Linked DNA regions of Diceros bicornis minor. The protein of the gene in region 2 interacts with the protein of the main gene of each other region in a biochemical or structural test. Links are inferred from orthologs where the notes say so. Each region holds a gene or a part of one and is shown on either strand. Other genes may lie near its edges.

Region 1 (7,205 bases), on a different chromosome or scaffold from region 2:
CTCTTCACCCGGTTCACTCCTTCACAACACTTAGGTCTCTACTCAGTGTCATTCTTCAGAGAATGACTGCCTTATTTATACATCCCAACACAGTCTCTCCAGGGCTTTACTCTCTGTAGCACTTACGACCTGAAACTATATTATTTACTTGTCTATATCCCCACCAGAATGCAAGCTCTATGAGAGCAGAGTCTTGGACTAGTGCCTGCTAGAACTCGATAAATATATGTTATGCATATAAGCAAACTCTCTTAAAAGGCAATAAAAAGGACGCCTACAGATGCACAGAAAAGCAGGGATTGCAAAGCTTGGCAATGAAGGTACATATTTTTATTTCCCTATTGAGGCCACATAGAGAATGATTTATTAAAAGATGACACCTTTCTGGATGAGTTACTGGAGCAAGATATCTACTCATTCCTACTTCCCTATGCTGCTGCTAAAGGGACTTCTGGGTTTAGAGACAGTGAGAGATATGTACAGGATGCATTCTTAATATCCTGAGATAAAACTGAAAATGCATTTTCCCAGAGAAACAATATCACGAATACAGTCAAGGAACCAGTCGCTGGTAACAGAAATATGTTGGCTACACACAAAAAAAATAGCTCCAAATAAGAATTTAGCCTTTGGAACACAGGCTGTTATGTTTTCAAGTTGCCTACTCTTCTAAATGGCAATTGACAAATCAATCAGTACACTGTAGGAGCTGCCCCCATTTCCTATGCAGAGCATATTTGCTGAAGGGGGACCTAGACTAAAATAAATGAGCTGGACTCCAATCACTTAGGGTAGATTACCCACCTGTTTATCCAACAAAGTAGGATGTTACAGTGGTAGTAAAGGATAAGCATACAAAACCCCACCTTATAACCATGTTTTACTATAAGGTTATGCGACAGTATATGTTAGTCTTCTACTTACAGACAATTCAAAAAATATTTAATGAAAGCATATTATAATCCAAAGCATTATATAAAATATAAATGTTAAATGAGTGGCATAGGAATAAGCTACTTTGAGAAGTTGCAGAGGAAACTGCGGTCTATGATAAGTTACGTAGACATGGAGCAGGGCAGAGTGAGGATGGAATGGATTTGGATCGAAATATCATGAAGATAAAAAGAATTGGGTCCTAAATGTGTCTTCTAGTTCTGCAGGCTTTCCCACCTATCTTTTCCACTTCTCTAAAGTCGACTGCACTTATATACTAATGCATCAGAAACAAAGCACAGGCAGGCTAACAGAGGCAGGAAAGCACAACATGGGATCAAAGATATGATCCCTATTCACACTATCAAAGTAATAGTGATAACAGCTGGCCTCATTGTGAGGCGAAAGGGGTCACAAACAGGCCAACTCTCCTGTTCACACTAGCAGATTGCAAATTCAGCTCTTGCTTTGTTCCCCTAACCAATCCCTGGATTACTATTCTCCTAGCTAATCCACAAATAGTACATCTACTCTGCAAAGCCCAAGACAGGTACTGACACTAACTTCCCCCTCTTCTGAGTGACAGTCCTCTTTCCGAGGCACCAATACATTCCCTTTGGGCTTCTGCGCAACTCAACCTTCTCTCCGGAGTCAGTGTCTCCACTCTCCCTTTTATCTCTTGGGAATCCTGGATTCACACTTACTCCAAACTCCACCCAGATTTCCCATTAAAATAATCCCTTTCAAAGATTCACAACACATATCTGGACTTTAACGTCAACTCCAACCAGGGAAAACCTTAGTGAAGTCCTACAGAAACATTCACTTAGGACAGTTGTTCTCACACTTTAGGAAGCACAAGATCACCTAGCTAGCTAATTAAAACGTGATTGGGCTCCACTCACTGCGTTTCTGATTCTTTAAGTCTAGAGTGACTTAAAGTCTATGGGGATAATCTGCACGTCCAACAAGTTCCTAGGTGATGTTGATGCTGCTCATCCTGGGCAACACTTTGAGAACCACTAATTTAGGTATATTCCTTTACATTTTAAGGATTACTGCAACCTCAAACAGCTGTCACTCTATCCTGGGGGTAGACTTTAATTTGTACTTTTTAGTGAAAGGTCTATAATTCATTCTTACAGGTGAGGAGGAGAAAATAAGGTAGAGTTTGGGATCATTAAAATTTTGAAATATGGTGGTAAGGCTGGAATTAGGTCAAGGCTAGTTAGTAGGAATAGAGGATGGAGGATAAAAGAAAGTCTTACACATTTTAGCGTTTATAAGAAATCCCTCCAAACAAACATTACTCGACGTGTCTTTTGTAAAGCAGCACCACCATGAAAATTGCCTATTCTTCCTAGAGCATTTCCCGACAGCATTTCCCAGCGCTCCAACAAAATTCTGCCAATCAGTGTCAAAACAATCCTGCCAACCCCACAGAAGCAGGCGATGGGCAGGGTTACCCACAGCAACACCTAAAAAGGGTTGGGTCCGGAGAAAAGCTGAACTCAGATTTGAATTTTAAGTGAATTTTCCCACCCTCGTCCCCAAGTCAGCGTACTGAAGGAAAAGAAATTACACCCTGAAAACACAAGCAAAGCTTGCTAAAGCTTCTTTCTGCGGACCAGGCGGGCTGAATAAACTGCACTGGGGAAGGAAACCGACACAACAAGATGCAAAGGTGGCCAACAGGTGCGCGAGCTGTTCAGAAAAGATCCGGGGAGCGCCGCTAAACTGGAGCCGGGCCGGGGGGCGGGACAGGCCGAGGGAAGCGTCAGGGTCCGGAGCCCCGCGGGGTGGAGAGGGGGGCGCCGAGGAGGGAGAGCTCGGCTAGCCGGCGAGAGGCGCCGCTCCGGCGGCAGGGGGGCGCCGCAGGCCCGCTCCTCACCTGGTTGAGCTCGTTCTCAGCGGCGATCCGCAGCTTGGGGTCGATGGTGCCCTTCAGCGCCTGGATGATCCGGTTGAGGTCCATCTCCCCGGGTGGGGGCTCCGCGGCCCCCGGACCAGTAGGCCAGACTGCAGCTTTAGTTTTCTTCTGACCCTCTCAGCCTCCTCCTCCGCGACCCCTGGACTACCTCACGCCCCACCCCCCGCCACCGTCGCCACCTGCAGCCACTTGCTGCGCCACTCTGACTCCGCGCCCCCTGTCCTCCCTTTCTACCCCCCACAACTCGCTCTCCATTCACCCTTTTACGACAGCCGGTGGGAGGCGGGAGAAGTGAGAAGAGGAAGCGGCTCTTCCTTTACGGCGGCCTCTTCCCCCGGGCGTGATGCTATGGCCGCCCCCACAGGCGGCCGCCATGCTGTCGTACGGAAAGTGGGCAGCTTCTTCCCCGGAGGGAGACTGAACTCACTAGCTCCGGCAGGCGGCCGCCATGCTGCCGTACGGAAAATAGCCTCCCGCCGCTTCCCAGTGGGAGAAACGAGCTGGCTAGTGGTCTCTTTACAGCTGCTTCCAAATTAAGCATCTATGGAGGGAGTGGCACTTTTTGTTAGTCTGAGCACTGACTGGGCATCACAACTGAGCCTGTTCCAGGGCAGACTTGTTGGGACCTTGAGATTATCTGGCCCACAGAAGGACGCGGTCCCCTGGGTCTGTGGGAGCCATCATTTCATTCATTGACTGAACATTTGTTAAACATCTATTTTTGAACCAGAGTACTGAGATATTTGGGTACCACATTATAACAAGATGAATTCGATGCAGGTTATCTTGAAGGAACTTACAATCTGATAGAAGAGACTAATTTAAACAGATAAAATTTATTTACAGAGTAACTGTGGAAATAGATCATAAAAACTAGCTATATGCCTGAGGGTTTCCGAAAAACTTCTGGACCTTCTCAGAAAAGTAGTGAAAAGCAAGAAGGGTTATACGGTTTCCACCCACTGTGGCCATATCTGGCCCCACAATTTCAATGGCATAAAAATATTAAGGAGCTAGTTTTTCCTGAGGCTAACCCAGAAAGAGTCCTCATTACATTTAGCAAAGAAGATGACTGTGAGCAAAATACATCTGAGGGGATGTGATCTTTCCAGGAGCAGATAAGATAGATTTGTTCAATCAAGAGAGTAGAAAATATGTGGCAGAAAACTTGGCTTCCTGAAAGCTATTTCCTCTGCAGAGGCTGTAAGCGGGACAATGCCCCTCAACTGGGTGCAAACATGCCTAACAATATGTCTCTGATTGCTTCCAGTTTTGCCCATCTTTAATCCATTCTCCATACTGCCATCAGAGTTATGTTTCTTAAAGGTTAATACTGTCGTGTCCCTTCCTTGATGACATCTCATCAACATCAAGATAAAAAACAAAGTCCTTAGCACCACTTCAGAGTCTTTTGAAACAGTGTCTTTCACCTCCACACAGTTTCATTAACCCACTCTTTTGGACCTCATGATAATCTAAAACTCCTTGACCTCTGAAATCTTAACTCCAATATCTTCTTTTTAACTTAGGATCTATTCTTCCATCTCTCTCCCTCAATAATTCTACACCTGTTTTCCAACTCAATCACTTTTCCAATTCTCCTGAGTCTCCCCACTCCTGACCACACATCCTTCTTTGCTATTAAACACCCAATTCAACTTCTCAAGTCTATCCTTGACCCACTGTGCAAACTGATACCAATAAAAAGGTGTGTGCTTTGCTAAAACTCAACAATTGCATTCCTTGTCTTTGATCAGCACCATCTTCCATTCTCTCACCAATTGTTCCAACCCTCAAGACTCTTCTCAAATTCCCTACCCCTTCTCACAGAGCCCTGCAGAGATGAGCAAAGTCATCAGACTCAACTTGCTCAAACACAAATTAATCCCTGCTTACCCCTCCTCACCTCCTTCTCTCTAGTCTGAACCCAATCCTCTCCCATTTCCTCTGGGACCTTGCTCCATAAATCTCTCTCCTCTCTTCTATGTATTTTTTCATTAAAATAAATTTTAGGTATTATTACATGTTGACAATATGTAAAAGTTTGTCCTATATTTTAAGCCTCTTTCTCTCCCTCGATTCAACCTCGGCCTAACAACATTTCCCCCCAGTTAAAAAACTATCTTTCTTCAGTAATGCTTTCTAATTATTGTTCATTCTTTTTCATTCCAAAGAATGGTCATTGTCTTTACTTCCTTACTTCCTATTCATGCTTCAATCAGCTATCCCCAGGCTTCTGCCCTCATTTCCTCCACTGAAATTGCCACGCAAAAATCAACACTGATCCCTCAGATACCAAATGCAAGAGACATTTTCAGTTCTCAGATATCAGAGAGAGATATCTGACACTGTATTATATGCTTTTAAAAAAATATTTCTTTCCTTATTTCTCTTAAAGAATATATTCCTAACCCTTTGATTACTCACTTGATCGGCCAATTCTTAAACACTGGTGCTTCCCAGGACTCTGTCCTCAGCCCTCCTTTCTTTCTCCTCCATCCATTCTGCTTTAGTAATTTCATCCACCTATATAACTTTAACCATCAACTCAACAGGGACAATTTACAAAACTGCTTCTAACCAAGATCTCTTTCCTTAAACTAGATGTATCCAAATTTCTACCTGGATGTACCCAAATCCTTTAAGGCACATGTCTAAAACTGAACTCTGGTAGCACTAAAGATGGTTTGGAGTAGGGACAAACTTGATGCAGTCATTCCAATAATGTAAAAGGAGAGAAGTAAAAAACAGTGACACCACCAAATACGCTGGCAAGGATGCAGAGAAACTGGATCACTCACATATTGTTGGTAGGAGTGTGAAATGGTACAGCCTCTGTGGAAAACCAGTTAAACAAACTGTGGCACATCTATAACCATGGACTTCTACTGAGCAATAAAAAGGAATGATACACACAACCTGGATAAATCTCCAGAGAATTATGCTAAGTGAAAAAAGCCAATCCCAAAAAAGTCAAATACTATCTGATTATACTTATATAACATTCCTAAATTGACAAATCATAGAAAGAACGGATCAGTGGTTGTGAGGGGTTAAAGTGGAGGTGGGGACAAGACAGAGAAGTGGGTGTGACTATAAAAGGGCAACATGAAGGATCCCTGTGTGATGGAAACGTTCTGTATATTGACTGTATCAGCGTCAACATCTTGGTTGTGACATTGTACTACAGTTTTGCAAGATGTATCATTGAGAAAAATTGGATAAAGAGTATACAGGATCCATCTGTATTATTTTTTACAACTGCATGAGAATCTACAATTATCTCAAAAGAAAAACTTTAACAAAATTAAAAAGAGAATTGATATTCCCATGCAAACTTCATATGCTTTGGAAAGACTCAGCGAAAACAAGTTACTAAAAAACAATGCTGTCAAATTAGCAGTGTCCAAGACAACCGGAAAACACCTACAAGCATCTACCATTCTGCTCTCAGATTTCTTTACAAGTGTTTTAAAATAGCTTTCCCTAAACTATAACTTATGTTTAACTTACAAATGGTTCATTGTTTGAGTCTCCTTTTTTTTTATTACTTTGCTTAATATGAGGATGTCTATATTTACTGATATCCTCTACCATGTTTAAGGTAGAAATTTGAGCCAGCTATGTTGTCTTGTATTATCATGGTTTGCATATGCCTTACCTCTCTGCCTGTTTCTTCACCTGCTTCCAAAAGCTGTCATGACAACTAAATGAGATAAGCACATTGCTCATGCTATATACATGCTCAATGTTAACTATTATCATTGTATTCTATTTAACATGAGAGAAGAGACACCTTATTCAACTTTTGATGAATGTGACATAGTACGACATAGTCTCCCACTATGCCTGGCACATAATAAGCAATAAATAAGTACTGGTTGAATTAATAAATGAATGCATGTGAGAGAAAAATAAGGGGTCTGGAATAGGATATCCACAGCAGGAATAAAAAAAGACAGATATGAGACATTTCACAGGTTCAATCAACAGGAATTTGTGACTGATTAGATATACAAAGTAACAAAGAGACATCAAGAATGATTCTCCAAGTTTCAAGCTTTGCTGACCTATAGAAGTCATTAGCAAGGGAAAATGCAAGGAGTGTTAGATTTTAGAGGAAGGATGAGTTTGTCTTTGGACATGTTGAACTACAAGTGCTTATGAGTTATACAGCTAGAGATTGCCAGTGACAACTGGAAATCCCCATCTGGTACTCACAAAAGAGCTGGGTTAGAAGGCAGGAAGTATGGCAGGGGAAAGAAGGAATAAAAGGATGGAGTTAGAGAACTGTGAGTCATCTGTGTACTATATAGGTTAGTTGACACCCTAGAAGTGGATG
Region 2 (7,410 bases):
TCAAAATCACTGTAAGCTATCTTCTTAATTTCCTTTTTTCAGCTAGACTTAGAAAGTTCAGTCTTCAAGGTGACACAGATATTAAAATTAGAATATAAGCCATGCTCATGTCCACATTTCAAAAATGTCTCTATGACAAAAATGGAGCAGTTCACAGGTACCAGAAGAGCAAGGAAATTTCCAATATTAGAAGGCAAGGGAAAGTAGAAATTACTATTGCTAGAGCAATTATTTCACAGGTTCCTTGTTATATCCATGACTATTGTTACTTTTACTATATTCTTAACTTGATATAAATTGAACAGAATATTTTATAAAAATTTCTTTGCCTAAAATTTTCTATCCAAATTGGCTTAAGCTTACATAATTCATTTTGCATTTTATTCTCTGGAACTTCGGTGTGTAAACTGTGTCTGTTTCTAAGTTGAATTTCTCTAAGTCAAATAATTATGCATAATATTAATTCAAAGCATAAAATTTAGTGAAATTTGAATATAAATACCAGAACTGAATTTATTTGGTTTATGAACAAAGTTTGATATACTGGGTTCTTTCATTAAAGCAAAAACACACATATTAACTTGCAAGATCTGCTTGTTAATCAACAATTTTTGGTCAACAAAAAACACTGAATTATATAACAACATATTTGTCAATATGTATTTAAGCCTTATTCACTTTTAATAAATAAACTCTGCAATACAAAGCATGTTTCTAAAGGATAAAAAAGGAAACATTAGATCAGCTGACCATCCAAGTTGATTCCACTTATGAAATTAATTTTTAATTTATAAAAAAATTCAAGAGATACAATGTGAAAACAAGTAACATTATATACCTTCAGTTTAACTAAAGAAACCAAAATTAATCTCTTACCTTGAAAAGAACTACAAGTCAAAAAAAAAGCCCAACAATGAAGAATGTAGAATAAAGATAAAGCTACAAAGAAACAAGACCCACTGAGGCAAGACCGCCTGGGGAAACTGCCTTGCCCTCTTCACCAACTAATATTAAGTCTAATTTTGACTCAGCCACAATTCAAATGCCAAGACAGTAACAGGAGAGTATCGTTTATCCCAATGTTCAAAATTTTGCCATATTACCTGTAAAGAGGTAAAATGCTTCCTTTAATTTGCCCTGTCAAACTTCTCAACAAATTTACTATTTGTAAGCCATATCTTAATGTCACTGAACTCATACACATACACTTGAGAAAACCCACACGATAATATCAAATTGAAAATGACTGATGTTTTATATAACTTCCATAGATAAAAATTCCCCCAAACGCTTATGAAAAGTGGAACAAGCAGGAAAAACCCATGGCTCTTTAAGTGCTTATGATTATGCCTAGCAGAAAAGCAATAAGGAAACTCACAAGCGAGCTGAAACAGCAATGAACAAATATGCTTTCTGTAGGCTTCAGCAGGGATACCTCAATTGTAACCAATACTAATCAACTGCTTAAAAAAAAATTCCCACTATTTAAAATTGTCAAAAAGAATCTAAACTACTAACTTGTGGACAAGCGTGCATTAAAAGTACTAAAAATGTGCATTTTCACTAAAAATGAACACTTCAATGTTATTTTACATACATCCTCAAACTACTACAGTTTAACCTGGCTTTCCATTTTCACACACTTTAGGTTTTTAAGTTTCCTGCTCCCCAAACCTAAATGCAGTATCCAAATCTCTGGGTCAGCACTAGAACAAATTCTATACTGTATCACTGACCACATCACTGGCAATTAAGCTCTTTAACAGTTTACATTGAATAAGGTATAGAATCACATCTTGTATAACTTTGTATTTCTAAAGAATGCTTGGTTCAACGTCCTAAATATATCAGGGGCTATATTTACTAACTCAAACTAATCCTTCAACACTTTGTAGTTCTCTGCTGTTGAAACAAAACTGCATAACTTTGCAAAATCCAAAGGACCTAAATGTTACTGAAACTTCACAGAATACATTACTGTTTTATGTTTTGAGGTATGAGTCTTGCCCCTATTACCAGCTGTAATGCTTTTTAGTGACACTGGTACAAGTGAATAGCAGAGCAGATCCAGCCAGAAGTGGACAACACCCTAAAAGGGATTTAAATTAAAAGTTTACATATTTATCCTACGTCTTTAGCTATGTAGCATTAATGTTCTAAAGTCAGTTAATTGTATCAACTACTTGAGACAGTTTTGCAGTCAACCTGATTTCTAGGAACATAAATAAAAACTGGTACCAATTAAAGAACAAGTAATCAAGTAGAAAAACTGCCTTAAATCCGGGCAACAAGGTAAGGATAGTTCACATTAATGTAATGAAAAAGAAGCCTTTTTGTATTCTGTAGGCCTCTCCATGACTAGTTTTTGAAACAGTTATTAAAAAAAAAAAAGTCAAAGCAAATTGGTAAGCCATTATCAAAATCACAAACTACCACTACAGATACACAAAAATATCTGGCAACCAAGGTCTAGAACTGGTTCCAGAGTGTCAAAGGTTTTCTGGTTATTAACATAGCCCATTATGCCTCTAAAACAATGTCACTCAGATGTGACATTCCTAAAACGGCAACATAGGCCTAGAAGTTTCAGCGTCAGTGCTAATGCTGGCAAACTCAAACTATGACCAAGATACTCTCTCTCCTTGGGGTTAACTACCAATTTTCTGCTCCGGGATCAGCTTGCTTCAACCAAGTTTAAGATGGTGCCTACATTGAGAGGAAAGTGGGTAGAACAGATAAAGAGAAAACATTCAAAGGGAAGCTTAATTTTAAAAGTTAAGTTCTTGATTCCAATAAACCGCGCCTTAGAAGTCTTCCAGACGACAAGGACTCGGAAGAACAGCTGGATGTAGACCCATTCGCTTCTCTGAGGCGTGCGCACTGCGCGGAAAGCATGAATGAATGGAAGAGGCTCGTGTGAAACGCAGCAGGTCCGGCCGGCAACCAGACCGGCGGCAGCGCTCAGTAGGCCTCGCTCCTCCCCTTCCCTCCTCCATGACAGCCCAGGCTCGAGCATGGAGGGGCGAGGACAATGTGATCCCCCTTCTCACCACCACCACCACCACCCTTCATCCTACTCAGAAAGCTTTACCGCGCGACACGCGGCTCTCCTCCCCACCCCAAACCGCCCTCGCCTCCCCGGCCGCCAGCCCCGGCCACTCCCGGGCGCTGGAGTACCATGCGCTCGCCCCTCGGCGCCCCTCGGCGAGGTCGACGCTCTCCGCGCGTGCCGCGGCGCCGCTCCCGCCCAACCCACCCTCCGGCCACGCGCGCCCACCGGCTCCCCGGCACGCTGGTCGGTGAAGACCCGCGCGCGCCCGCACCCGAACCCCCGGGCGGGAGCTCAGGAGGGAGGGAGGGATAGGCTGCCCCGGGGCTCCCTCCTCGATCTCCTTCCAGGCCGGCTCGCCACCCACCCTCCCTGCGGATCCCGGCGCCCGCTCGGGGCCGGCCCCGCGCCTTCCTGTCCCGAAGGCACAATCCCCACACACCCAGCCCGGGGCCACGGTCTCCCTGCACCCTGGTCGACACCCGCGGCGCGGCAGGGGGCGCCGCCCCTCCCCCACGCCTCTCCCCCAGCTCTCAGCCCCCACCAGAACGTGTGCGCTCCACGCCGCGCCGCCAGCCTCCGGGGCGCCCCCCGGGGCCCGCGGGCAGGTCAGGCCCAAGAAGAGGGGGAGGGGGCGGCAAGGGGTAGCGTGCGCGCCAGGAACGCCGTCCCGCGGGGTCCCCTAGTCCGAAGGGGGCCGGAGCGCGGGGACCCGAGGGGGTGGGGGCCAAAGGCAATACTCACCGGTTCCACAGTCGCCATCTTAGATCGATCTGATCGCACAACCGCTCCTGGAGGGGGGGTGAGAGAAAAAAATGAGATTCAAACCGGATTGGCCGGCTACTGTCCACGTGACGGACGTGTCCGTTTGGCCCTGGCGGCGCCTGCGCAAGACTGCGGCTGCGTGAATGACCAGGGGCTTCTGGGAAGTGGAGTCTCTTTTCTCCCTCCCTCTGTCTCTCTTTTTTTTTTTTTTTTTTCTCTTCAGGGCAAAGAAGTTTAAAAAAAAGGCGTGGTCACGTGGTCGATGGGTAGGGTGCGCGGTTCTTGGCGCGGCGACGCTCGCGTGCTGGAGGGTAGTTTTCAGTCCTCTGCTCTCCCACCTGGGTAGGTGCTGTCGCACTTACTGCCAGGCATGCCTATTGTGCCCTTTGTCGCCCTGTCCTCCCATCTTCCCCGGAAGGCTCAGTACGCACAATAAGGCTTCATTTGTTTAGTTGCGGTCCTAGGACAGGTTGTGTGTTTATTTAATTTTCTTTTGACTTCCCACCATTTTCCCTTAGTTTCAAAAAGAGGCGGCGATGGAGAGTCGTTGTTTAAGGAATCAACCCTGCCCCGTCCCCGGCTCCGCTACCGGTCGTGGTCACTCGTTGCCATCTCTGCGAAAGGGGGTGGCAGAACCGCCCACCGTGCCCACTTGCCCCAGGCTGGGGGAGGGGGAGTGCACCCGACAGCTTTTGCAGTCCCAAATGCTGAGAGTAAGACCTCAGGGCTAAATCTTGAGTGGAAGGAACAATTATTTGGAAGGTCTGTCTTCTCGGTTGCACTATTCTGCTTTAACGTGAACAGAAATAGCCTAGGTCCAGGTGACAGCCAGGAAAGCCACTCCGGGTCCCGCTGACTAAGCCTTGGGCTGACCGTCAGGAGTCGTTAGGCCTGGTCAACTATGACTCTGGACGTTGACTCATTCTCCTTAGGCGAGTGACTTAATCGTTCAGTGCCTCGGCTTTTTCATTTATGAACCACAGATGATAATACACTTACCTCACAAGGGTGTGCTGTGGTAATGATTGTATCCAGCTTTGAAAATGCATCGGACTCTGTAAATGCTTTATAATAAGCAACCTCGTGCCTTCCTAAGGATCAGTTGCTTCTCCTGCTATTTTTTTAAACAATGTTTTAAGTTTTTCTTTTGTTTACGTTATCATGTACACCGTGGCAATTTTAAAATTTCAAGACAATTTTTTTGTTTATAGCTAACCTCAGTAGAGGCTTTAATATTCACGAAAATATTGTTATATTCACAACAATCTCTGGCAATTAGAAATTTATCCCCACATTGGCATCCTACATTTCCTTTCCCGCTAAGATAGTGTGCTATCGTTTCTCAAGACAGTGTTATTCTGCACAGTCTGATTATTAATACAACAATCAGTACAGATAAAAGAAATCTAGTAGAATGCTGCTATAAGGTTCTCATGAGGAAGACATCATATCATCCCTATTTGCCATACTTCTTAAGAATGTTAACACCAGAAGATCAATATAAGCAGGGTGCTTGTGCCTGCCTGCTGATAGTGTTGCCAATGCCTAGAGCTGGGTCATCGCTATTGTTGAGTACATAATGGTGGCTTGAGTTGACTCACACATAGTTGAGGCTGTGTGAGAACTCAAAACCATTGCCTGTTCATATGTTTTGGTTTACCTGGATATCAGAGGTGATTAATGAAAGCTTTTCAGTCAGTTTAGCTCTAGTAGGTTTAAAGTAGATGGAATTAAAAAAAAAATAAACGGATGAATGGATTTCTACTTAGGCAGACTGTTACTTAAACTATCCAAAGTAATTACAGTTGATCTCAGTGGTATTTTCTGTTGGTTAGAAGTAGTATCTGGTTATCTTCTTTGAGGAGAGAGCATAAATGTGCTATTTTTATGATGCTGCTAGATAACAGAGCAAAGAATTAAGGAGATTTCAGTCCCCTTATAGGACTGAAAGCCGGTGATATTCTCAAAACTTCTTTTAGTGATAACCTCCATTTTATTAACTTTTCTCTTGATCAAAAAACTCCCCACTTTTGTCTATCATCCTAGTACTTCTACAATACTTACATATACTCCTATTCTTTATAGCTTAATTTCTCTCCATTTTGTATACACTTCGTTGCATGGCACATTCGTGTGTGTTTGCCTAATATTGCCATTAGAGTCTACCGTGTTAAAGATTTGATGATTAGATTTTTATTTACGTGTGTATGTGGTTGTTTTGTTTTTGCTAATCTGAAATATACAGAGCAGAAATTTTATACTTTATTTCTCTATTAATCCACAAAAAATTACATTTGTTACCTTACTACTGTATTCATACTTATGCTTAAAGAAAGGGTAATAAAAAGATATATGAAATGGGAGATAGTATTGAAATTCTATTCTACTAGATCAAGTTATCTGGTAAATACATAACTAATGGCCCAGCATAGTATCATGGTAACTATTATGTATAAGCCTGGAATAATTGGTTTTCATTTAGTGTCTATAAGTAGTCATGATCTTTTCTCTACATAATGTATTCATCAAGCTAGTATATTACTAGTCTTTATAGATTTAACTCACGGTAAAACACTTTAAAGAATTTGATGGAACACATCAGTTGTTTTTAATCATGTATTTACCTCTTTTTTATTGGAATTTTATTTAGGATTTCTAGATAACCCAAGTCATTGTTTTGCTGGGTATCAGTACTAAACGACCATTTTTCTTAAAATGAGTAGGTTTTGAGGCAGAAAATATGAATTGCATAATGAAGTAAATGATCCTTAATATTGCAATATTGAATATTAATTTAGATATAATCTAAACCAACCTCTAACTAACACTAACATTGTTTTTTTTAAAACCTATTCACTCAGTTTTTAAACTTGGTTATCCTTTACTTTATGCTCTATTTTTTAAAATTGTTATTGTGACTTTCTACAGTGATATTCCTTTAGGAAGGACCTAAGATGATGACTTCTAACAGGACAAATAATCTTTTCAATTACAGTTGCATAGTTTAGTATTTAAGAACGTGAGCACTGATGTCAAATTATCTTGGTTCATAATCCCAGTTCTACTGCTTACTGTGTGACCAAACAGATTATTTAGTCTCTTTGTGCCTCATTTTGTCATGAGTTAGATGGGCATAATAATAGTACTTATCTTGTATAACTGGTTAGTGTGAGAAATAAATGATGTAATATTATATTAACATAAATTTCTTATTTCTACTTTTTAGTATACTGTAATATGCGTAACAATTCTTTCATTAGAGAACCAACCTAGCCTATTATCTTTCAGGATAGTCCAAGCTTTCAAAGTCAACTAACATTGGTTTTCTATAACATGCCAAGTCTTTTTCATATTGATTACTTCATTTGACCTTTATAACAATTATGTGAATTATACATTATGCCCATTGTATAGGTAAAGAAACAGACTCAATAAAGTTAGGGGACACATGCGAGTCCACACAGCCAGTGGTGAGCTCGAATTCAAACCCAAGTCTCTTGACTCCAAGATTCTTCCCTCCATACCATAGCTGCTTTCCTCTCGTAGGTTCTTCCAAATGCCTTTTTCTGTTCAAAGGACTTCTAATACTAAGTTCG

What was found. The genes of interacting proteins can lie anywhere in the genome.
Region 1: the proteins of EIF4E (region 2) and IPO8 form a complex in vitro, tested with the Homo sapiens proteins (2 studies listed by BioGRID and IntAct, with this or other methods). The link is inferred for Diceros bicornis minor from reciprocal best matches to the Homo sapiens genes EIF4E and IPO8.

The regions. Positions count from the first base shown.
Region 1 is NC_080756.1:32,522,787-32,529,991, reverse strand, and holds the start of IPO8 (importin-8), read right to left. Parts: upstream 3,022-7,205; 5' UTR 2,909-3,021; coding exon 2,825-2,908; intron 1-2,824. UniProt on the Homo sapiens protein: Involved in nuclear protein import, either by acting as autonomous nuclear transport receptor or as an adapter-like protein in association with the importin-beta subunit KPNB1.
Region 2 is NC_080747.1:81,778,420-81,785,829, forward strand, and holds the start of EIF4E (eukaryotic translation initiation factor 4E), read right to left. Parts: upstream 3,032-7,410; 5' UTR 3,017-3,031; coding exon 2,804-3,016; intron 1-2,803. UniProt on the Homo sapiens protein: Acts in the cytoplasm to initiate and regulate protein synthesis and is required in the nucleus for export of a subset of mRNAs from the nucleus to the cytoplasm which promotes processes such as RNA capping, processing and splicing.